Lytechinus pictus: one gene and its partner. The protein of the gene in region 1 purifies or fractionates together with the protein of each later gene. This does not show direct contact. Links are inferred from orthologs where the notes say so. Each region holds a gene or a part of one and is shown on either strand. Other genes may lie near its edges. The genes, in order: 3-ketoacyl-CoA thiolase, mitochondrial-like; 6-phosphogluconate dehydrogenase, decarboxylating-like.

Region 1 (12,390 bases):
CCATCCCTTACATACAAAGTGACGTTTAACTCGAAACTCGTCGGACGTTAGAAGACAACACTGTGTCAACGTTGGAAGAGAACGCTGCCAACGTTGGAGCAACGTTGTTGCCAGATATCGTCGGAGTCGGACCAACGTTGTAAACATCGTTGGACTGACGATTCTAATTTCAAGGATGCAGCGTTGCCTGCCACACAATTGACGCAACGTTAATTGTTAAAACGAATTCACAAGGTTACGTTAGTCCAACGTTGTACGCAAGCTTTATTGTTGATTGGAATGGTACGTTGCTGGGCAGGTCACATATCAAGGTCAAATGTAGCTTGAGGTCAAATGCTAAAGTTCACCCACAAAGCTCTCTCGTGACGCAACCTTGCAACCATGACACAATATTCTACCTTGGTTGTAGAAGCACGCGTGAATGTGTTTCCGTCAAAGGTCACGTGATGAGGAAATGGATGTTACATTCAACCAGTAACGTAATAAGCCAAACATTTTGAGGGGGTCAAACATGTTGTGTGGGACAACACACGCCACAACTGGGCGTTGTGGCGTGTGCCTGTATTCCAAGCTATGTGGGGAAGTTACAAATTGATCAGAGGTTCGAGGTTCGAGCCCTGGTCACGTCTATCGGGGGAGCGTTTCATGAAAGGACTTGTCGGACGTTTTATCCGACAAGTCCCATTTTATCCGACAGTTACCATAGGAACAGTGCCTTTCAGCCAATCAACATGCATGAAAGATGTCAGATCTGACAAATGTTGATGAAACACTCCCCAGATGGTGACGTTAAAAGTCGGTCCCAGACGTAAATAATCATATCTGATTGATACACGTCTGACAAAACTCAAATACACACACACATTTTTTTAAAGTCGCAAGCGAGCGAAGTGTGTGAGCAAAAATGTTGACCTTGTTAATACAAAGAGCTAATTTCATGGTAGATTGTATCAATCTATGTCATATTTCACCCTTGTCAGTCCATAATTCATTTCTTCTTTTTCTCTTTTTTTTTGGTGGGGGACCCCCCCCCCCCCCCCCCTCCCCCCATCTATACGTTTGAGCGTTCAATGGCAGTGACACGATATATGCTCATGCTACATTTTGATCTGCGGCCTTAATATCTCAGAGGGTCGGAGTTGGTATTGTAACAGAGTTTTTGGTTCAGAATAATGTATATAGGTTATAATTCGGGTTTCTTTAGTTATGGAGGTTAGGTTACAGGGGCCGCGGAACGAACGGTTTTCAAAGTGGGCGGGGGAGGGGGGCTGACCATGCAAAAATCACAATCCTATGGTCATCTTTACGTTTTTTTTGTACACGGTTTTGGAAAAAAGTGGAGGGGGGGGGGGGGCTGAAGCCCCCCTCCCCGCTTCCGCGGCCCCTGGGTTATAAGGTGTGTTTGGCTTATAACGTGTAGACTTTCCATTGGAGTAATCATCGCCGGAGCAAATGTCGTGGAACCTCAATGGCAGGTATCAATCAAAGGATTCATCGTTGGGTGATAAAGATAACTGATAAGTTATTCATGTTCAGTGGAGCGCCGTGGCCCAGTGGATTAGTCTCCGAACTTGGAAACAGAGGGTCGTGGGTTCGAATCCCAGCCATGGCGTAGTTTCCTTCAGCAAGGAATTCATCCACAGCGTGCTGCACTCGACCCAGGTGAGGTATATGGGTACCGGCAGGAAGTTATTCCTCAAAAAGCTGTTTGCACATGAATCGGTAGCCTATATAGCATAGCCGGGGTAATAATAATAGCAGGGTACGCTGGGAGAACAGTTTTCGGAACTGAAGTGGCTACCCTGGGTAAATATACCGTTATCATTATTGTTGTTGTTATTATTATTATTGTTTCTCCAACTTATACCACAAGGCTAACACATCAACTGTTGTTGCTGTGTTACCCTTGCCGTGTTAGCCTTGTGGTATTGTTGGAAAGACATGAATAACTTATCTTTTATCTTTATCACTCAAGATGATTCCTTCGATTTGATATTTAATATAATGGGATAGCTTGACCCAGATAATTTAGGGCACTTGGTGGTCTAGTGGTTATGACGCTGATCTAGTGATCCAAAGGTCGTGCCGGGTTCGAATCCCACGTACCCGGTCTGCTTATATGATTTTTTTTTCATAGGCAAGCATCACTCAGCAGTTGTTGTGTTACCCGTGTGGTATTGTTGAAGCAACATGAATAACTTATCATTAATTTCAATGAAAATGTATTTCTATACGAGCCCGGTCCATGAACAGTGTGGCTACACAACGATCGCTCGATTTCTAATCATGTTCGCAATTAGGCGAGACACAATTATCGATTACCCTTTGATCATTATAAGGTCAAGTTCTGTTGGGCATGGGATATCAACATGATAAATGTCTCGCGTTGCCATGGTTTCATTAACTCATGTCAGACAGGAAGGGATATAGATTTAAATTGAACAAAAGTACACCAACCTCCTTAATGGGAGGCTTAATTGGGACTGGTGACGGGGGGGGGGGGTGTCCTACTGAGATGGGAAGTGGGGTGGCAGATTATTATTTCATTGTCATTTCAATAAACGTATGTGCAGATATAGGAGTAGGCAGGTATGGCCGTAGGGGTTGACTGCACACTGTCATATCAAGGAAGATGGAAAGATTGACAGATAAAAAGAAAAAAGAAAACAACGAAAGAAATTAATAAACAAAAATTACATTAAAAAACTAAACTTAAAGAAAGAAAGAAGAAAGAAAGATAGATATATGAATTAAAAAAGAAAGTAAGAAAGACGGAAAGAAAGAAAGAAAGAAAGAAAGAAAGAGAGAGAGAAAGAAAGAGAAAAAAATGCACCCCCATAAAAAAAACCCAGAAATTGAAGAAAGAGAACAAAAAAGGGGAAGAAATGAAGGAAGACATAAAAAATAAAGGCAATGTGCTTGATCATGCAACTGTTTTGCTCCTTAAAAAAAAAAAAAAAAAAAAAGTCCCGCTTGTAGGCAATGTTGACCCTGCCTCTAATTCGACCTCAACATTTCTGCCAATTTAGCCTTCGACTGATCTACACTAAACTAATCGTTCATAATTATTATGAAAATAAATGTCGATTCCACTACCCGACTTTGCAGTCAACATTTGGGGCTTATGAATGCTATAGGAAAAACGCTGTTTAAAATCATATCCAAGGCTATAATCGTAGGATTCATACACAGTAAAATCAATATCTTGTTTACTAAGCGAACCTTGCATGCCAAATTTATTGAGAGTTGTTTAAGGTTTTAAACATTTGTTTTAACTATTTAAACAACTATTTTATTTCCATATAGTTAATAGCGTATGTATAAAAATGTAAACAGCATTTATTTAAATTTGAATTTAAATTAAAAATTTTATATTTTCTTCCGGTGCAAATCTTCGGATGAATTGCTGTCCCAGTCCACCAACTTTTAACTTATTTATGAAACAAATTTCAGAGCAAATAAGTTCAGAAAGAAATAGTTTCGTTTCAGAAACCTTTTCGAACAAGCTGGCAATCTGTCACATTAACAAACATAATTAATACCAGTGTTTATTTCTTAGATATAATGTATCAGTTCTCTTATTTTTCTTGCCAAATTTGATTTGGCTGTGACAACTTGATTGTATAATAAGTCAGTTTGACTACATGTCTATGTATTATGAATTATGTATATACCATGTTTATTTACTGTTTGTCTGAAAAAATGGTAAATGTTTATATAGTGTAACTATGCTTTTTGAAAATAAAGAACCCTGTGGAAGGGAAAATAATTTAAAAAAAAAGCAAAAAAACTTTCAATTAAACAAAAGCCTCTCAGTTCTTTATTGTGATTTTAATTGCATTTTCCAAGGAATCGATGCGTCGCAGAGAGTCCGCCCCCCAGGTTTCCCCGTACTATAGGCATAAATGCAAAAACTACCTAGTATTTTGTTCAGATATTAAGTTTCATTGTAATTCAGTTCAGCTATGGTTGAATTATAGATGCTCACACGTGCATGTTTTCATCAATTTTCATTTGACGTTCGACCTATTTCTCTTGTCATTCCTTACCCGTTATGTCTTCATTCAATCAATTATTTCATCTACATCTGGGGCCCGTTTCACAAAGCCTGTTTTACTAACAACTATATGCAATAAAATGTTTAAAGCTACTGAAATCATACAGTTTGATTGGCTCAGAGCAAGCAAACTTGTTGCAGGCATTGTGTATTTGGTATTATGAAACACCATCCAGATTCTTGTAGACGGGGGAGCGGTGCCAGTATTATTATTATTATTATTATTTTTTTTTTTTTGGGGGGGGGATCTCGCGGTGGTGTCATATTCTTTTCTCAGTCATTTTAATTATAGGGGCATTTAAGCATGTTAAATAATACATTTTACAAATACCTTTTAAAATACTATTTCACAGGTTTCATACTATAATTTTATCCTTCTTCCTTTTCGGAATTAAACCCTCCCCGAAATGTTCGCGTTTTGGGGGGAGAGCTAAATGAGTGTTATTATGTCCATATTTAATACTTTTTTTGTCTCAAAAACATTAGCAAGGTGACTGTTTTTTTCAAGGTCACCAACACTGTTTTGTACACGGCAATAGCGATGATGAATAACTATGTCAAAGGTCAAATGTTAATGCAGATGAAGTATATCAACAGTGCCGGGTGAAGAGGAGACAGAATCGAAACACGGAGTAGGTGTGTGTGTGCAGTGGCGTAATGAGTAAAAAAAAATTGAGGGGGTCAGATATGGCGTATCGGGGGAAAATATAAAAAGTTGCGAGTGAGCAAAATAATGTTTCTATTTTATGGTAGATTTTGACATAATAATAGGCCTGTTCAGAAAGTAACATATTTCACGCCTTTTTTTGCTTGGGGGGAGGGGGGGGGGGGGCGCCCCAGTGTGGTTGTGTGCCGTATGTGTGTGAAAGACAGATAGAGAGGAGGGTCGGGGTGATAGAGGAGGAGGGGGGGGGGGTGACGCTAGAGCCTAAAAAGTGGGACACAGAACAGAATCAAATAAAATGCCTATAGATAAAGGAGGGGGGGGGGCAGAATATATATATAGAGAGAGAAGGGTGCGGGCGGGGGAATAGATATCTAGGAGGGATCGAGGGATTGACCTTTTGACACAATGCAAATGTTTTCCATTCTAAACGGTCCTCAATATGACCTAGAAAAAAATATTGGCGTGTGTATAAACGTATCATTTTGCCCATCTAGAATTTACAATACATTTTTGAAACCGGGAAAAACCGCATGGAGTTCGAAACGGGGGAGAAAAAAAAAAGTAACATAATTTCAATAAAGAAGGGCGTCGCTGGCCAGAGAGGGGAGGGATGGGGAGGGCTGGAGTAGAGCTATAATGATAATAATAACGGTTATTTATATGCGCTATACACAAAAAGTATCACAGCGCTTACAATTGTCGGAAGTAAAATATTAATATAAATCTGAAGTAACAAAAACAGTATAGAGTCAACGTGGAGCGTCCGGGCCCAGTGGATTAGTCTCCGGACTTTGAAACAGAGGGTCGTGTGTTCAATTCCCAGCCATGGCTTAATTTCCTTCGGCAAAAAATTGATCCACGTTGTGCAGAACTTGACCCAGGAGAGGTGAATGGGTACCCGGTAGGAAGAAATTCCTCGAATGCTCGAGCGCCTGATCAAGGTAGCCGTGCTAATTAAAGCCGGGGTAATAATAATAGCAGGGCCCGCTGGGAGAACAGTTTTCGGAACTGAAGTGGCTACCCTGGGTAAAAGTTTTCATTATTATTATAACGCTAAAGTCGCAATTCATGTACTCCTGTAAAAGTAACTGGGGCTCTTGAGGGTCTTAATTTAGTTCATAATTGGATTTTGTTGAAATAAAACTAACAAAATATACAATCGAAAGAAGTCCACATATTGAAATATGTGACCTTTTACAAATAGAATCATAACAAATACATGAAGTAAATTTAAGTGAATATTCGAATAAAACACAGATTCATATAAATGAAAAAAAAAAATGCAAATTTCTTTATTGCACATTCTGTTTGAACATGATACATGTCCTTTTTCGCAATGAAGTGAACTTCTTTGAAATGATGATGGGATCTCCACCGCCCCCCCCCCCCCCCCGACCGCGCCCGTCCCCCGCCCCGACCACGACCCCGCCCCTTTCCATTTTCTTCGATCGTGTATGTTAATTGTCAATAGATGGCGCCAAATCTTTTAAAAGCATTTTGTGACTAGAACGAATTCTACTAGGGGCCTACTAGAAAGTGGCACAGAGATTGCACTTCAAATTATTAGTCTTTTAAAGTCGTTGAAAGTCACATCATGGCCCTGACTCGAGGTAATTATATTATTAGCTTATGACATCCATATAATTAATTTCATAATTCGAATTTTAATGCAGTCTTGTCTCATTTCTTATTTTCTGCGCCCAGCTCTGTGCGGTCTCTTCCCCTGATCGCCGGCACCGCATCTTGCTTGTGAGTTTGCGGGGAAACCCTGGGTCAGTGTTTGTAGTTGTACGCACCCGGGTGATGTGCACGTTGACGCCGCGGCGCTTGCGAATTCGCGAATTGATCTGAAAATAAATTGTTAGTTTCTTGACTTAAGTCATAATGAATAAGATTGATTGCATGCTTCGGGATTGTATTATAACTGGCATAATTAATATTGTTTGGATTGTATTTGACATATTAAGTGTAGACTCCTACCTTGTTTTAGCCTAGGCTCTAATTCTAAACTGAATGAATCATTAAAATGACATTGTCATTGTGAATGTCACCTTGTCTCGACTGTGAAAATTGTGTTCTGCTTTTCAAGGAAAATTCAATATTTTAGACTAAATTTTAGTTAGAAAAAATGAATCTCATAAATTTAATACTCTAAAATTCTAAATCAACATTTTGTGTAACAACCATTTGGTCCAATCATCACTTTGTCTAGACCAGTTCATCTAACGTCCATGCGCAGTGAGTTTTTTTACTGTTGCGCCACTCACCTGTCACTGCCTGACTACAATGGTTCTAGAAATCTTTTGCAATGTTGAAAAGTGTCTTGTGGCATCTGATATTAATCCTCAGTAATTCCCTGAAATGCTGCAACGTTTGGTTAAAAGATCCAGCAAAAGACAAAGGAGTTAAGCGCAGTCAAAGTCAGACTTGCAAACTTGGTCTGTACGGTGCGAATTTAAGGACGTTCCACATGCACAGTTAAAGTGAAAACCATGTCATTTTCACCAAACTTTGCACATAGATACTTTAGAACCTTAATATTCGAAATATGCAAAAATTAACATAGGTCCATGTGCTTGATTTTTTGCTATAGAACTTCAAAGTTCACCCAAATTGATGTTCTTAAGAATTGCGCATTCAAAAGAATTTTGCATTTTTAGACCGCCCAAGATTACTACAATGAGTTTTAACCTGTATTACTCAGTCAAAATACATGAAAAAGTCATAAAATTTCGCAAGAGAGTTAATAATTGTATCGTTAGAATGGAGAATATATTTAAAGTGCTATTTGTTTGCAATTTTAAGTTTAACAGCACTGTCAGTTCTTAAAAATGGCGTAAAAGATAACAAAATCCCAATCTAAAAAATGTGAAATTTCAGTAACAAACTACAAAAGTACAATAAATGCTGCACTTTATTCAAAATCCATGTCATTTTCACCAAAATTTGTAGAGTTGTAGAGGAAGGTATACCTAAGAGGAACAAACATTAAAAAATAGGGGTTCATGTGCTTGTTTTTAAACTATCAGTACTTTTATTAGAGCAAATGTGCTTTTTAAAACACCAAAAATGCGCCGAATGCTTTGTATCTATGTGAAGAAAAAATCAAAACCACTCTACCATTTATTCAATCTCGGGGTAATATTCGTGATTCTTGGCAGCACTGCAGAGTAAAGTATTTTGAAATTGTAGAGAATCTTTTTTTGAATGGTCCATGGAATAATTCAATTTTTTAGCTTCATGAAATAACGCATCGGATCTGCAGTTAAAGTGCAGAAGATGAGAAAAATCAGCACATACCCGCAGCTAATTAATCACCTGTTCATCCATTGTGACGTCAGCGCGCAGTGTAAACTATGCGCAGATCATAATGCGCACAAACATAACTGTGGAACGTCCTTAAGCTGCCATTTTTCTCGGGCAACGATTTGAGACGCCCACACTAAGCAATCGATGTTTCCAAAACTGCCCGCTCAAGTTACCAATATTTGGTATCAAAATATAGATTATAAAAAAATGCTCACGATCATTTCATTTTGAAGGTGGGGGTGACAATTGTTATCAAAATAAGAGGGGTTGGCGACTCAACGTATATCTTAACCCACGGAGAGGTTTCAACAATGCAGCTGAGTCAATGCACTTTTGTGTACGATCGGTGCGTGTGTGTGCGCATGCGCGATATGTCTGTGTAGTAAATGTATTGGATTTTTCGAATCGGCGACTCAAAATATACCCATCATTGGGCCGTATGCATAAAGACAAGCAATTGCTTATAAGCAAATGCTTTAAGCAAAAGCAAGAGCTGGTCAAGCAAAAGGGCAAGTTCAAGCAATTGCTTAAATTCGTATGCACAAGCTTTTGCTTGTGCTGAAACCTTTTGCTTGCACTGCCTAAGCAATTGCTTATGTGTTGGACAAAGGATCGTTACGGTTGTGCGAACATCGCACAGTAGGACAACAACGCTTCGTGCCCGAACTGGCAGCAGTATTTTTTTATTACGCAAATAGGGGGAAAACAGCGCAGAGCATCAGGGGGGTTTCTGTGTAGATCGATGGACAAAAATTGCCGTAAAAAGTCTAAAATAACAGGAAATTGATTAGATATGAAATCACAACATAACCTCTGGAATATGGAGCTTGAAACGGTATGAAAATTTAATCCTTAAACGAGAATGCCCTGAGTAAGCAAGAGCTGAAGCTGGTCCGGAGGTGCTTGAAAAAACGCAAGCAATTGCTTATCAAGACAAGTAAATTGCTTGTTTGGTAAGCATTTGCTTACGAGTAGTGAGCAATTGTTTGTGCTTGTAAGTAAAAGCTTTTGCTTATAAGCAATTGCTTGTTTGTGTGCATACCGATTCAAGCAAAAGGCTAGCACAAGCAATTGCTTGTTTTTATGCATACGGCCCATTGTGTCGCCGTTCCGGAAGTGTGTAATTCATGATGTTCTTACTAAAAACTGTAGCAATTTCAGGAGAAAAGTTTATCATATATTTCAAAGGATTTGTGGATACTTTCATCTCATACAAAGATTTGGGTAAGAATTTTTTTTTTTGGTTGCAAAATTGAAGGTTGAAGACTGCCGATGGCGACTCACTGCGCATGGACGTTATGCCTAGGCTATGGCCATCTCGTCTCACAATCAGTTGGTCTAATATATTTTTTTTCATTCATTTTTCCCAATTTACACTTAGTCTAATTAGACCAAATGGTATGGACTTTTTTATGGCTATTGGCAAATTGGACCAACTGGTTATTAGACTAAATGTTGAGTGGATGAAACGGCAATTAGACCCCCCCCCCCAAAAAAAAAAATAGTTAGAATCATAGCTGGAGCAAACCCAAGATCTAAAGTTAGCACATTATACTCTGAGCTTAAACTGCTTATTTTAGAAGAAATTACAACCTACCAGCAATTTTTTTTTGTTTATCAGTGTATCAATCGGCTTATGCCTGTTAATTTTTCTCAGTTGTTTGATACAAATCAGAATTTATATAAATACAATACATGCTCCTCTTCATTAATTCATTTGCCAAGACACAGGACCTGTTCTTATCAACATAATATTTGTTTTATAGGTCAAAAAAGTTGAACAATTTACCTACAGACATCAGACATGCACCAACTTATATAACTTTAAGAAAAAACTTAAGAAAAAACTTACGTCCGGTCCCTAAATTTTGTGATTTGCTTTATAGATTTAGTTGTGGGATGATTGGTTGATGATTTTTTTTCTGTTTCAAATGACATACTAGTATTTTATATAAAGTTGCCCTGTCCCCCCCCCCCCATTTTCCCTACATTGTTTTGTATTGTACTCTGTTTCATAAGTTTATTTCATGTACTATGTATTCATTGTTTATGTCACAGTGCACCATAGAGATGTATACTAACTACGCTAGAGTGCGGAGTCGCCATAGGCGCGCGTACTTAACGTCTGTGATTGTGTGGAGCGTGGCGGCCATTGCTCGATAGGTATAGATTCGCAAAAGTACCCGGATGTACCCATAGCTCGTGCGTTGTAACGCTGTGAAAAGGGGTGCCGTCTCCGGCCTTTATCTTGAAGAAAAGAACACAACCTCATAAAAATCGAAAATATGAATGACAAATTGCATCTCAATACACTATTAGAGTGATTACATGGGGATTATGCTATTAATTTGGCATTTTAAAAACCTGATTTCTCGGGATGAAATTCTAAATAATTTGCATTTACCTGTCCGTTTATAGGCCTGTAATAGATAACAATGTTGATATACTATCATATAAACAATCATATAAAAATAAAAACATACAGCGGACATTAATAGAAAGATTGACAATTAATTCAAAAGACTGCAGTGAATTAGCCCTTCTCTGGATTTCCCTACCTTTAACTGCATCGTCCTCCTTCCATCCTTCCCACATTTACGTCCTTTGATTCTATGTTTATGTTGGATATAATTTTGTAATTTCTATATAGGCCTACATGATATGTAACTTGCTTTAATTTGTATGAAATATAGGCCTATCATTTTTATACATTAAGTTGTACAATTAATTCTGTATAAGTTAGTGTTTTGATCTACATGCGCTATTAAAGGGCATCTCATTATTGTTCTTGGTGAGCCTCCCGTTACACCATCAATGTTGAAATTTGTGTTATTTGGTGAACGTGCTGATTTTGTTCTTATAGGAACATAATAAATTCCCCAAAATCTGCAGGCCTATATGGCCCGAAAATAAAATATTGATTTAAAATGTCGAGAATATAGCCTAATTTGTTCAAACTTTTAAAAAATGACAGTTTTAATTCCCTTCACTTTAAGTTAGATTTTTTTAATTCGCTTTTTAGGGGCCGTGTGTGCAATTAAAATAACAAACACACCTAAGCAAATTCGCTTTAACATACTGATCAAAATAAAATACAGGGGGCGCGACCGGACCCCTCCCTGAAATGAAAATGAACATTACACATAATAAATGATTGTGATTTTATGCACCCCATCGCTTTCAAAATCATTCCGCGACGCCGTAACATAATAAAATAATTTTGTTCATCCATGGAAATCTTATTTAAAAAAAAACGATCGAATACTCAAACTCAGGTCCATAGGCCAGCAAATGACATTAAAGGAAGAAAACTAGAAAATCAAATTCAGTTATACTTTTAAAATGAAAAACAAAACTGGATATTCAAAACGCGTGTTTATCTGTTTATATGTTAGGCCGGTGCCAGTGCTTACAAATATTTGCCATAAAGTTCATTTATTCAAGCGACACAGACACAGTTAATTAACACAATTTCAAGGCAGGTATCAAATTTGAGATTAAATTAGGATTTTTAATATCTTATTCCAAGTATTGTCACTTTTGCAATATTATTGTTTCATAATTATGTTTGGTTTTAGTACTCACAATTTTGCAACCGTTTTCATAATTATGATAAGTTTGCATTGATGTCTTTCATGATATTAGTTTTATACACTCTTGCAGTAGTAATAATATTCTTTATAGTATAATACAAATTATATATCATAATCCCGCCCCTTTTCTTCTCTCCTTCTCCCCCTTCTTCCTCTCCTTATTATTCTATCCTTGATTTGTTCACATGATATTGGTCCAATCATTATAGGATCAGAAACAACGGCGATAAACAAAATATTTCAGCCAGTTTGCCGATCAGCATATTTTCAGCCGGGGAGAATCAAGTCTATACTTTCCAGAAAATCAAAGTGAAATTGTTTTGCGCATTGTGATTTGTTTACTCTCCGAAGTTTTAAAATGTTTGCAAGGCAATAACACTGTACATAAACATCCAACCCCCCATTAGGCCTCCTGTACATTGCAAAATTGTACGACTGCATGCGCGCATTTGATATGCAAATTTTGCTGTCAACAAACTTTTCTATACATTGATCGCAAGTAAGAAAGTATACTTTTATATACATATTTATAAATATGATGGGATGGTTGCCAGCAAAGGAAATCTAAATCATCAATTTTTAACTGAATCAATGCGTAAATCATTTCCAAATATCAATAAAAAGTCATTTTATGATTCGCGAGTTTTTGTGATGTTGGTTTACATCAGCGTGTAAGACATGGGGAAAAGGGATCGAGTTATTATAGGCCCTATTGTGTAGATATATATGGAAAATGAATTATAACAATTATCTAAAGTGAAGAA
Region 2 (12,030 bases), on another chromosome or scaffold:
CAGAACATATCATGATATGAATCTTTGCCCCCCCCTCCTGTATTTATCATATAAAAAGCAGAATCCTCGATATTTTTTCTAAGTTGAAAACAACTTATGGGAAGCTGTGTAGGTTAAGCCTTGTAAACGTGGGGCAGAGAGCATCGTGTGGGCTTATGATACCATTGCTTTTTCATATTAATTACTTTACACAATACTCATCATCATAATCATGCTCTTCATGGTCATCATCACCACTAGCGCCAAACCATCATCATCATCGCCACCACCAACACCACAACACCACCATCGACCATCACTAACAACATCATCATCCTTATCATCATCAACATCATCATCATCATCATAACCGCCACCATTACCACCACCACGACCATCATCATCATCATCACCATCATCATCATCACCACCACCATCATCATCATCATCACCATCATCATCATCAAAATAACCATCATTTCATTTCATGAATCCCCATTTTTCTATTCCGATACAGTGGCGGATAAGGACTCCTTTTCAAAAAAATCCTTTTAACATGTTTAAGAAACATAAAAAAAAGAACGTCCACACGGAGGTCCTATATCATTGTATATACTGCCTTAGCATTTAGAGTCTGGGAAAATAGCGATGTCGAATAAAAAAAAATACCATGTCCATGGACACTACGTGCTGATCGAACTCTTAAAAAATTGACAAGATACATCCAAGCTACTTTTTATGACTTCCGATGGATGTGAATCAGATGAAGTGCAACCAAAATTTGATAAATGCTGATCTGAGACTACCACGTTCTCGATTCAACAATGTAAAAAAAATAATTAACAATCCTGCAAAATGCTGAATGCAAATGACTAATGGAAGGTAATCGGTATTATACATAGAACTTCGTCCCAGATACAACATAAGCCTATTTTTGTAATCATAATGTATAATATTTTGATGTTTTCTTTTAGTCTGACAAACAGATTATATAAATCGCTGTATGGTTTCTCTCGTCCTTAGTAAATGTTAATGCTCCCTCAGGTGTGTGATACTTCTCTGTCTACATATTGATCCGTTCAATTTAGCTCATTTCACGGAATCGTTGATCCATCGCTTTATTCAGCTAAACCGGGGGATCTGCTGTAAAATGGAATCTTTGAAACCAGTCAGCAGGTATGAATAGGGGAAAAAAGACAAAGAAAGAAACTAATGAAGGTTTGAGAAAAATTGAATGACTAATATGAACATTATGACCATTTAAAGGGATGCTCCGGGATAAAGATAATTATATCTCAATAAATAGAGTAAAATTCACACAGCCAAATGCTGAAAATTTGATCAAAATCGGATAACAAATAGCAAAGTTATTGAATTTTAAAGACTTGCATTATTCTGGTGAAACAGTTCTAGGCATGCCTTCATGAATATTCATGAATGTGTTAATGATATCATATCCCCACTTGTTCTTTGTATGGAATTAGGTTCATTCAAATTTGTTCTACCAAGAATTAAAACAATTGAACTGACAACTGATTAAGTGAATTAGTTATTTCTTGCTGCAAATTATTTCATCATAATGGAGACACATCATCATTTACACATTGATGAAAAATGATTTCATGTAATAATATAAGAAAAAGGAAAGTGGGGATATGCATATTTATTCAGATTTTTACTTTTTATCAAGGCTATCCATAAATCAAGTGCACTTTTAACGGGAGGACTTGTAATGAGGTTTCACAGAATATCATGGACAATGTTGGTACTAACAAAATGAATGCAAATTGGAGGATCTCCATAGTATTAGTTATTTCAATACTCAAATGCTCATAACTTTCTTATTGTTCGTTCATTTATTTTGTATTCTCACACTTCTAGTGATTTTATTCTTTGGGTGGGTTTTTTGTTGTTGTTCGTTTTCACATAAGCTAACATTTTCAAAAAATTTCATTTTCTTCAAATGACCAAAGGATGAAAACTTTGTATTAATGTAATTAGTGAACACTTTTTGTACTAAAATTGAGCTTTCTTTTAAGGACAGGTCCACCCCCAACAAAAAAGTTGATTGGAATAAACGGAAAATCTAACACTAAAAATTTCATCAAAGTCGGATGTAAAATAAGAAAGTTATGACATTTTAAAGTTTCGCTAAATTCACAAAACAGTTATATGCACATCCTGGTCGGTATGCAAATGAGGAGACTGATGACGTCATCCACTCACTATTTCTTTTATTATATGAAATATCATGATTTTCTCCTCATTGTCAAGTAAATAAACGATTAATTCCTTCCTGAACATGTGGAATTAGCATTGTTTAATACTATATGGTTCAGTCAAGTTGGCCCTTATTGTCAAAACTGTAAAAAATGAAATATTGTATAATTCAAACTATAAAAAACAAAAGAAATAGTGAGTGACGGACATCATCGACTGTCTCATTTGCATGTCACTGAGTTGTGCATATCACTGGGTTTTTTTTGTGTGAAAAATAATGGAAACTGTAAAATGTCATTACTTTATTATTTTACATTTTGTTGAAATTCTCAGCGTTATACTAGTTTGATTATTCAAATCAACATTTTCTGGGTTGGACATGACCTTTAAGCGAGATAGAGAGGGGGGTGGAGAGAGAGAGAAGGGTTCATATTTGAATTTCTCAATATGAATAAAGTTATTGTCCAATTTCATTCTCTGTATTATTGATGGTTATCTCAACAATTTTTAATTACTTATTTACGACACACAGTCAATGAGAGACTTCAAAGTAATGGTCAGTTCACTCCCCCCCCCCCCCGAAAAAAAAATGGTGCAAAGTTTCACCTTCTAATTGTAGTTGGGCATTCATCACTCCAAACAGGAACAAAGCGGTACGTTTACCTTTTTCATGTATGGGGGAATGGGTTGATTTAGAACAATGCCAATTCGTCCAATTGCCAACTCGTCTAAATTTTGGTCTACCATCAGTTCGTCCAATATCCACATGGTCTAATTGCCATTTCATCCACTCACCATTTCGTCATAATAACCAGTTGGTCCAATAGCAATTTAGTTGATATACCATTTGGTCTAATTAGACTAAGTGTTAATTGGTCAAAAGGAATGAGAACAAAACGAACATTAGACCAACTGGTTATGAGACGAAGTGGTCATAGACGAACTAGTGATTAGACGAAATGATGGTTGGACCAGATGGTTATTGGACCAACTAGTTGCTAGACGAAATGTTGATGGACAGAATGGCATACGAATAAATGAAGGTATAGACCATGTGGTGAGTGGACGAGCTGGCAGTGGACGAAATGGACGAGTACTGCCATTATCTGTCGTCTTCATCCAGAATTCCAGCTTTCCGAAATCTCGTCAACGTTCTTGTTCTCATTCTTATCTGTCTCCACCACATACCTGTCGGACTAATATGTTTCAGTGATCAATTTGTTACATAATTCATGGGTAATTGAACATAACGCACCAATTGAAATATTTTTCCCCCGTTGGTCGAAATGTAGAAAATTACAAACACACTCACCACAAGCTTAAAGAGGCATGATATTAATAGTGTTATTGTATAAAGTTTCTCTTTATGAAAGTATATACACATGCGTTCGTTCTCAAATGGCACCAGTCCTGCATGTTGTTTGTATTCATTGCGCTCGGGGAGTTGCGCTTGGGGGCAAAACAATTCTCATTTCACCATGCAATCATTTATTTCTTTCTTTTTAATTGTAAAATATATATGATATTATCTAGAAGGAAATAACAGATATACAAATACCAATACAATTCATTCTATCAGTAACAGGATAATTGACGTCAACAGAAGTTGTGTTCAATATGGATCACAGATACAGACAAAACAAAATATTTCAAAGTTTCCTGACTATCCTTGGTCTGTATAACTGCACATTATAAGTAGAGAGAACAAGGGCGGTCGGAAAATATTTGGAAAAAGATAACTAAATATTCATGATTTCTTTTCTCAAAAGGACGTCTTCCAAGAAGTTCAGGTGAATAAACCAAACCGAAGAAACTTGTTTGATGCTTCATAATCCGTATACTGAACATGAAAGGACATACGAAGATTTCCCTTGTGTCTCCTTGGGTTTCGTTGCCATGGAGCACATGATCTGATGATGAATATTTTCTCATGGCTCAATCCTTTTTTATCCTCCTAAATAATCATTCAGTATCCAAAATGAAAGAGAACACCCAGATATTCAGCCTGAATTTCATGTTGTTTTCAAAACAAAACAAAAATATTCGATATCGACGCGTTTGGCTGAACTGCTCGCGTCGCATAATATTTTGATCCAGAGTAAAATTTCAAATACCTGGGGATTTTTCTCAATTATCTTTTTTCTTTAAATCATTGATACTGTGAGTTTCCCTAAAGCTATTGTAGTATAATTAACCAACTTGTATTTTGGATTGTTTTGTAGATCATCTTATTGCCTGTCTCATTTCTCCTTTTTTCAACCTTTTTCTTTTAAGATTTTTTATCTTGCTTCCTTTTGTTATCTAATTGGCTTTCGAATTTTCTTCGTCTTTTTTTCCGCCTTCTTCATTCTATCTCTTATATTATACTCTTCTTTATACTTTTTTAATTTATTTTTCTCGTTTTCTTCTTATTTTGTCTTCCTCTTTTCTGAATAATTCTTTTTTCTCTCCCATTATTTCTTTTTTTTTTGGTTTTCGTCTTCAGTTTCCATCTTCTTCACCATTTAACGACTATTTTTTTCTCTTTTTGTCCCTTTTTCTTTCTCTTGATATTTCTTGTAAAAAACTCCCTCTTTTTTTAATAAGATGACAAAGAGCACTTCATAAAAAAATGCAAAGGTTTATAACTGAATATCACTTTACATGTTCCTCTCATGCTCGTTTGAAGAAATTAAAAGCAATGATAATGGTCTACATGTTTGTTTAAAATTGTTACTTATTATTTGCCCCTAAGTACATTAAGGGCCTTCAAAGTTTTAACAATAACCTTGTTAATCATTATGATGGCGCTCTTCTCAATTCACAGTAGAAGCAAGATCAAACTATACTAGGTTTACACAGTAAAAAAAAATTATACAACGCTGTTTACTATATGAACCTTACAGTAATTGTTTAAACAGTTTAAACAAGTGTTTAAATCTTAAGCAACAAAGTTTAATTTTCAATATCTAATGTTCAATAAATTAAACATGACTGTTTAAACTGTTAAACAAATACTAGGTTGATATATTATACAGCGTTGTATAAAATCTTACTAAACAGCGTTTTTACTGTGTAGCTTATGAGCATACACTCCATGCAGGTTAGCCCCATTTTATTGACTGAAATATATAATGTATTTTGATAACCAAATTGACACATGAAATCACATCTGTGATTCCAGTATTATCAGTAAAAAGTATTATAAACAATGAGAAATGAATGAAATTTGATGATCAATATAGGGCTGACACAAACTTTAACATGATCAAGTTAGTGTTCGTCACTCAAAAAATATTAACAAGTTTTTGCACCGCAACTCAGAACGAATAATTCAAGAACACATGAAGTTAAAGCATTGAAAATGTCCGTCAAATGACAATGAACAGCTGGGAGGTCTTTGTCGGAAATTGAGAAACCGGAACAGCAGATCGTCTTAAGTTTTTGAGCTAACGAACAGTTTAAACTACTAGTATGTCGTAATTGTCCATAGTCCAGGACGAAATTGCTGGTTTGATTCACCAATTTTCGAGATAATGAGAAACTTCTTGGATGTTCTTTGTCATGAAGGGCACTTAATTTTGGTGGTGGTGGTGTGGTTCAGTGCAGGGGCGACGGAACCAGACGGGCCTTTTTCAAAATGGAAAATGCCCTTTTTTTTAATGAAATGAAATGTACCCCTGTTCAAAATGAAATACCTTTTTTAAAGGAAAACAATACATTTTAGATTACAAAATCACAAAATGTTTGGCTCGTGCAGTTCTGCATTCACATCAATTATTGTTTAGTAAGGTATTCTTCCTATTCATGGTTTTAAAAAAAAAATAGAATGTCCAGTTTTCAGGTTGTAATATCACTGGGAATATCACACACCTTTGACTCATGTTTCGCTCTCGCATCATTTATTGTTTATTAAGGTACTCATTCTGTTCCTATAGTTACAAAAAATGCTTAGCATGTCCAGTTTTCAGGTTAGAATAATAATCACAAATTTCAGCTCACGCTTTGCGCTGGCGTTAATTATATATATAGACACATCTTTTTTCATGATTTACAAAATTGCTCGCCTTAACTTTTCATGTCTTAAATGAAATGTCAAAAAGTTTGAGCTCGTGATTCGCAACATCTCGCAAGGATGCCCTTTAACAGTACAGTGTAATTAGCGCCATAATTGACCAAAAAGCGAGTTGTACAGCTTCGATCAGATTTGATTTTTTTTTTCGAACCGCTCGATCGCTCGCGGAAAATACCTAAATATCAATCAGAAATCTTTGCTAATCTTTATTACTACAAAATACACGTTAACTTCTTCACACATAATATAATCTCATGGTGAAAATGCCCATTTTGACATAAATCTAAATGCCCTTTCTTGGCTTTGCCACCCCCCCCCCCCCAACGAAATACGTTCCGCCGCCCCTGGTTCAAGTGATAGTGATGATGATCGAAGGTGATCGAATCAAGGTTTTCTGTTTTAACCCGAGAAAATTGAGGTAAAAATGGAAATGCCAAGGAAATCTCCCCCCCCCCCCCACCTTCCCCGCCTAGCTCCTTCAAAGTCTTGGGGGGAAATCCCGTGAAGCACACATGTGCATCACACACCCACTCATACTTTATATTGCATGCACTGCACACGTTGCACCGGCACCAGTCACGACGTCCGTTGCTCTAGCTCTCGAGATCTCCGCATTTCATTTGCTTCCGGTATCTCGTCTGACTTCGGCTGTACCACGGCAAAATCTCTCCAAAATCAACCATGGCTGAACCAGTGTAAGTGCTATTTTATCAATTTCAAGAAAATAGATATATAGGGGGAGGGTAATATGATTCAATCAACTCGAAGCATTTATAATTTCAATTTTAATAGTAAAATAAAACGGATGATTGGGGGTGTGGAACTTTGGCGAGGATTGCTCGCTGGCCTTCCATCCTGTGAATTTCCCAGGGTCAGCGCCAGGCCATTGGATTCGGCGCGGCGATGACCAGCATGCTGCAAATTTATTCTTGTAAAATGTAGGAATGTTTTATGACATGCTATTCTCCCGTTCATCCATGTTTGACCTTGGCTTAGGATCCTTGAGGAGGGGTTTGAAGAGTAAGAATAAGATCAAAGCACATTAATGTCTAGAGACTAGACCAAAAGCTTCAGTCTCTGTAATCTGTATTTTGGTTGTTCCGCTGAACTGCGTTGGCTCACTCACTAGTAAAGTGTCAGAAATTGTTGAATTAATCCCCAGAAACGACGGTTATTCCTGTCTAATTAGTGTCGACAATAATGACGTTGCTCTCCTACTCGCGCTCGTCACAAGTTAGATATCTACCGTAATGTCACTTGCACGTACATGTAGGCCTATATTTAAGTTGTTTCATTTGCACACCCCCCCCCCCAAAAAAAAAAAAATTGAAATTGAAAAATAACTGCATGTAATTACAACTTAGAAGGTTTTGAAAAACCATTTCATGCCAGCAGATGGTAAAAATCAAGTTTTAAAATAAATCCATATACTGATAAAAGTGATAAATCTTATTTTTCTTCTCGAAATGCTGGACCCCATGCTAGACAAAAAGTTTTTGAGGAAACGTGAGAATAAGTCCAATGTTTTTATAATCTTTGCATGCTTTTGTCATAAAAAACAGACTTAAGCTTTGCGCTATGAATGCACTACAAAGAAAAAGGATTCAGGGATGCTTTTGTACATGCAGTGTCTACATCACTTTAAAATAAAAAATAAAGAATGAACTACAAGTATTAAAAAGTTTGAAATTGAAAATAAAGCTATCCTATAATGAGTTTTGTATAGTTTGAAAGAGAAAAGTATGTGTAAAGCCTTTGTATCCAGCTACATGTACATGAAAATTAATATGAATGTCAGACTTTTCTTGGACTGGTCATTGAAGGGTATTTTCCAATGCCTCAGTGATCATGGCTGATTTTTTCAGAGTTTGGAGGATTTTTTATGTTCATTTGATATTATAACTTATAAGATTCTGAGATTTTTAGTTGGCTTTGCTCATTTTGACCAGAAATTATTAGATTTGATTCTACCTTCAATGAGGCAACATAAGAATTTATTTCATCCAAAAATATTTGTAATATGAATACCAATTTTCAAATTAATTAAATGTGAGAGCCATCAGGAAAATTACAAGCTATGAAAAGTATGATCATCAGCACTTTAATTATCACAGACAGGTCTGAAAATATGCATCATCCCATTATAATTATTCATGCATGACTGATCACATTTTGCAACTTGTTGTATTAAACATGTAACATTTACAATCTAGCAAAATAGGATTTTGTTTTATTTCTAGCAAAGTAGTGCATACATGTTTATCTTCTCCTTTTTAAGTATTTCCTTTGGACATATTTCAAAACTTTAGATTGTGCAACAAGGTGCTCAAATACAGTTGAAATTAGAATCACTGCTGAGGTGTAAAACAAATCGTAGGCTGATTCCAGAATTTGTTAAATTTGCTGGATATAAGTTTAATATTTTAGAACATTATTGGGCATTTGACTTGCTGGCTTTCTGTTGTGCTTTACATGTATGTGTTTTTAGGAAGGGGCTTGAGAATTTGTTTTCAAATTTTGGTGAATCTTTCGTATCGGTACCTGAAAGTTACAAGCTACATGTACATGTATATGAATGTAGGAAAACTAGATACATACATGTACATGTATGGTTTCCATACAAAGTATTCAGGCAACTATTTAAAGAGGACTCTGTTTGAAGCCCCACATTACTGCTTTGAAAAAGCATTTGTCAGATCTACATGTACTGTACATTTACATGCTAAGCTGCATTAAATGCAAATGAGTTGAAAAGAAATTCCTATCATAGACCCAAACTATAGATTCCTTCACTTCCTCATTTTTTGTTCAGCAACTGTTTACGAGGAGGGGACAAATTCTGCTTTCATTTCAATTGTTGATAACAACACCATGGCCGCGATAATTACTGACCCATGACTCTAGTCTAAATGTCTTTTTATGCTCAAGCAGGAAACAGTGATATCCATTGATTGCAATACATGTACAATGTAGGATGAATTCAGACTGGTTTACTAAAAACTATTCAATCTGAATGTTGTGTCCTTAAGCACTTGAGCATTCAGAGTGATGAATATTAGTTGAAAAAAAATATTGTCTGGTTGTTGGAATGGAAAATATGCACTGAGTGTGTCTAATAAGGAGACCATTGACTAGAACAGCCAATTTTGCTTTTAAAAACAAACTTTAATTAGCATTTTTGGTCACAAGAGTAAAGCTATCAGTCCTACATGTATGTAAAAATCTGTCACACAAAATTTGGGATGTGATACTTTATTCCCCGCAGAACCACACGTATAGGCTTTAATAGAACTTTACTACTGATGTACTTCTAATCTTCTACTCGGGTTTACCTGCCACATCAACCATTTCATATCATTATTAAAAGTACTATAGACATACATGTACATGTGACTGATCCTGGTGGGTGTTTCATAAAGCTGTTCGTAAAGTTACGCACAACTTTCCGCATGACTGGAACATGTTCTTAGGTCCTAAATCAATTACATAGGGATGTCACACAGCTCAAGAAAGGATCACTAGTCGCGCGTAAAGTCATTCATATCTTACAAACAGCTTTATGAAATACCTACCAGTACAGTGAAACCTGTCTATTTAGACCATACATGGGAGAGGAGAAATCAAATGTGATCTTTATCAAGTGGTCTTTTTGGACTGGTTTTTGTAATACAATGGGAAATTTATACTGTTCAAGGGAAACCAAACTTCTGATGTGGTCACGAAAGCAGGTTGGTCTGTTTTATGTACAGAACATGAAGAAGTGCGTCTTAGCTCTGGATATGGACAAACTTGTAGATAGTCCCAAATTTCACTCCAAATTATTTGAGTCTTCATCCATGTTCTACAAAAAGTAATTTGTATGCCGTTGTACATTCAGTGCATGCAACCAGGAAGTCATTTACACCCTTTTCTTTGCAATTCTTGTTTGCATCCTGTTTTCATGAATCCCCCAAATTTTAGCTACTACTGTTTGGTTGTGGTTTCCTTTATGAGAGTCATGTCCGCAAGAAAATTTTTGAAGAAATTGATTTTTAAAGGAAATCAAACCCTGGGAAAATCAGTTTTGGTTTTATAATTAAAAAGATGATAGAAAAAAAGCAATTGAAACAAATTCTATCAAAGTTGGTTAAAAAGTGAAAGAGAAAGTGATGATTATGTTTTGAAAGTCTTTTTTTCATATACTGTGTATGTGTGATCAGTTGAAATAACAGTCTTCAAAATCTAAATATTGCCCTTTATTTTCAAAAGGTTTTATTGACAACTCCAGTTTCCATTTCAAAGTACTGTATGCACCTTAGGCAATCTGCCAAGTACCACTATCGCTTGTAAATTAAGCGATAATATTGCCAATAATAAGGCATGCAAGACACAATTTTCAAACATGGGGATTACTATTTTGCCACATGTGGTAGCATAAAATTATGACAGAAAGTATGTAAATCAGGGAAAATCCTGTAAAATGAATTAGGCTAAGGGGTGTTGCAAGAAAATTTTTGCAATTAATCCCAAATATTCTGTTGCAATTTTACAATTGATTGATCACCTTTAACTATGGCGAATCAGATTACACTCCTTGTTTCATGAAGCAGATTTAATAGCATAATCAATCGCAAATTTGCAATTAATTGCATGGCATATGCTTGATATTGGGAACGAAAATAGACTTGCAATTGATCGCAAGTTTCTTGCATTGCCCCATTAGAGACTATAGATACCAGTGTTCATGAGACTTTGAAAGTTGGCTTGTGCATTTGTCTTGGAGTGATGAGGACTGGGCAACATTTGTAATGTATTGGGTCATGTGTTGTCATGGTAACAACATATAAAATTGTACTGTCATTACAGTACATGTATGTTTCTCACATCACTTGTTTTGTGTTTTCTTAAGTGCTTCTCTCTCCATCCCCTATCGATTAATGTTTCCCAAATATTATTTTGCCTGCATACACTGCAGTACAAACAAAAGTATTGAATATGACACAATGAAGTATTTCACTTCATGTACAGTTAAGTTAATCTGATGAATTTTTAATTTTAATAAACAGTGAAATGAAAAGTTTTGAAATGTTATTGTGCGCAGGGAAACCTTGAATAAATAACCTTGAAATACACTGTACATATATGCTGTACTGTAGCTACTGTCTTAAACATTTGTTTTTGTTTGTTTGTTTGTTTGTTTTGTGTTTGTCTTTAACTGTCTCAAATGTTGGAGGATGGTTCTGCCAAATGTTACTTACAAGTCCTCTCATGCATCAATTTGTGCATGCATCCGCTGTTAGAGTGAGTGAGGTGTTTGGCTGTTCAGAATGTTAATGGAGACTTTAATCTAATTTATGAAGGGCATTCTTGCAATTTTAAAGTCACCAGGAATTTATGCACGTCTAAAGTACCTACAATACAGGTACATGTACATGTACGTAACTGTAAATACTACATGTGTACCATGAATACAAGTGGCTGCTGTCTGCCACTGGCTTTCCGAGACAAAATTATAATACTAGTACTTGGTACAGTGTCTAGAAGGAGAGAGGAAGGTGGAGCTAGCACTACTCCTGGCTGTACATCATGAAGTTTGTCATCTCCACTATGTAGCAAAAAATGAGTTATAAAAAAAAGAAATTGGCCCAAAACCAACAAATTACTGTACAGATTTAAAATGAAATGCAAAAAATATCTTTTTCAAAAACTCTATACAGTAAAAATTTGTGAAAACAAGGGTTATCAATAATGGTTGATTGTTTTATGGAATGCATTATTGCAAGTTGTTATAGCAACAC

The links.
Region 2: the proteins of 3-ketoacyl-CoA thiolase, mitochondrial-like (region 1) and 6-phosphogluconate dehydrogenase, decarboxylating-like fractionate together in Homo sapiens (co-fractionation; 3 studies listed by BioGRID). This does not show direct contact. The link is inferred for Lytechinus pictus from reciprocal best matches to the Homo sapiens genes ACAA2 and PGD.

The regions. Positions count from the first base shown.
Region 1 is NC_087250.1:5,141,085-5,153,474, forward strand, and holds the start of 3-ketoacyl-CoA thiolase, mitochondrial-like, read left to right. Parts: upstream 1-6,200; 5' UTR 6,201-6,318; coding exon 6,319-6,334; intron 6,335-12,390. UniProt on the Homo sapiens protein: In the production of energy from fats, this is one of the enzymes that catalyzes the last step of the mitochondrial beta-oxidation pathway, an aerobic process breaking down fatty acids into acetyl-CoA.
Region 2 is NC_087258.1:13,305,673-13,317,702, reverse strand, and holds the start of 6-phosphogluconate dehydrogenase, decarboxylating-like, read left to right. Parts: upstream 1-6,774; 5' UTR 6,775-6,934; coding exon 6,935-6,948; intron 6,949-12,030. UniProt on the Homo sapiens protein: Catalyzes the oxidative decarboxylation of 6-phosphogluconate to ribulose 5-phosphate and CO(2), with concomitant reduction of NADP to NADPH.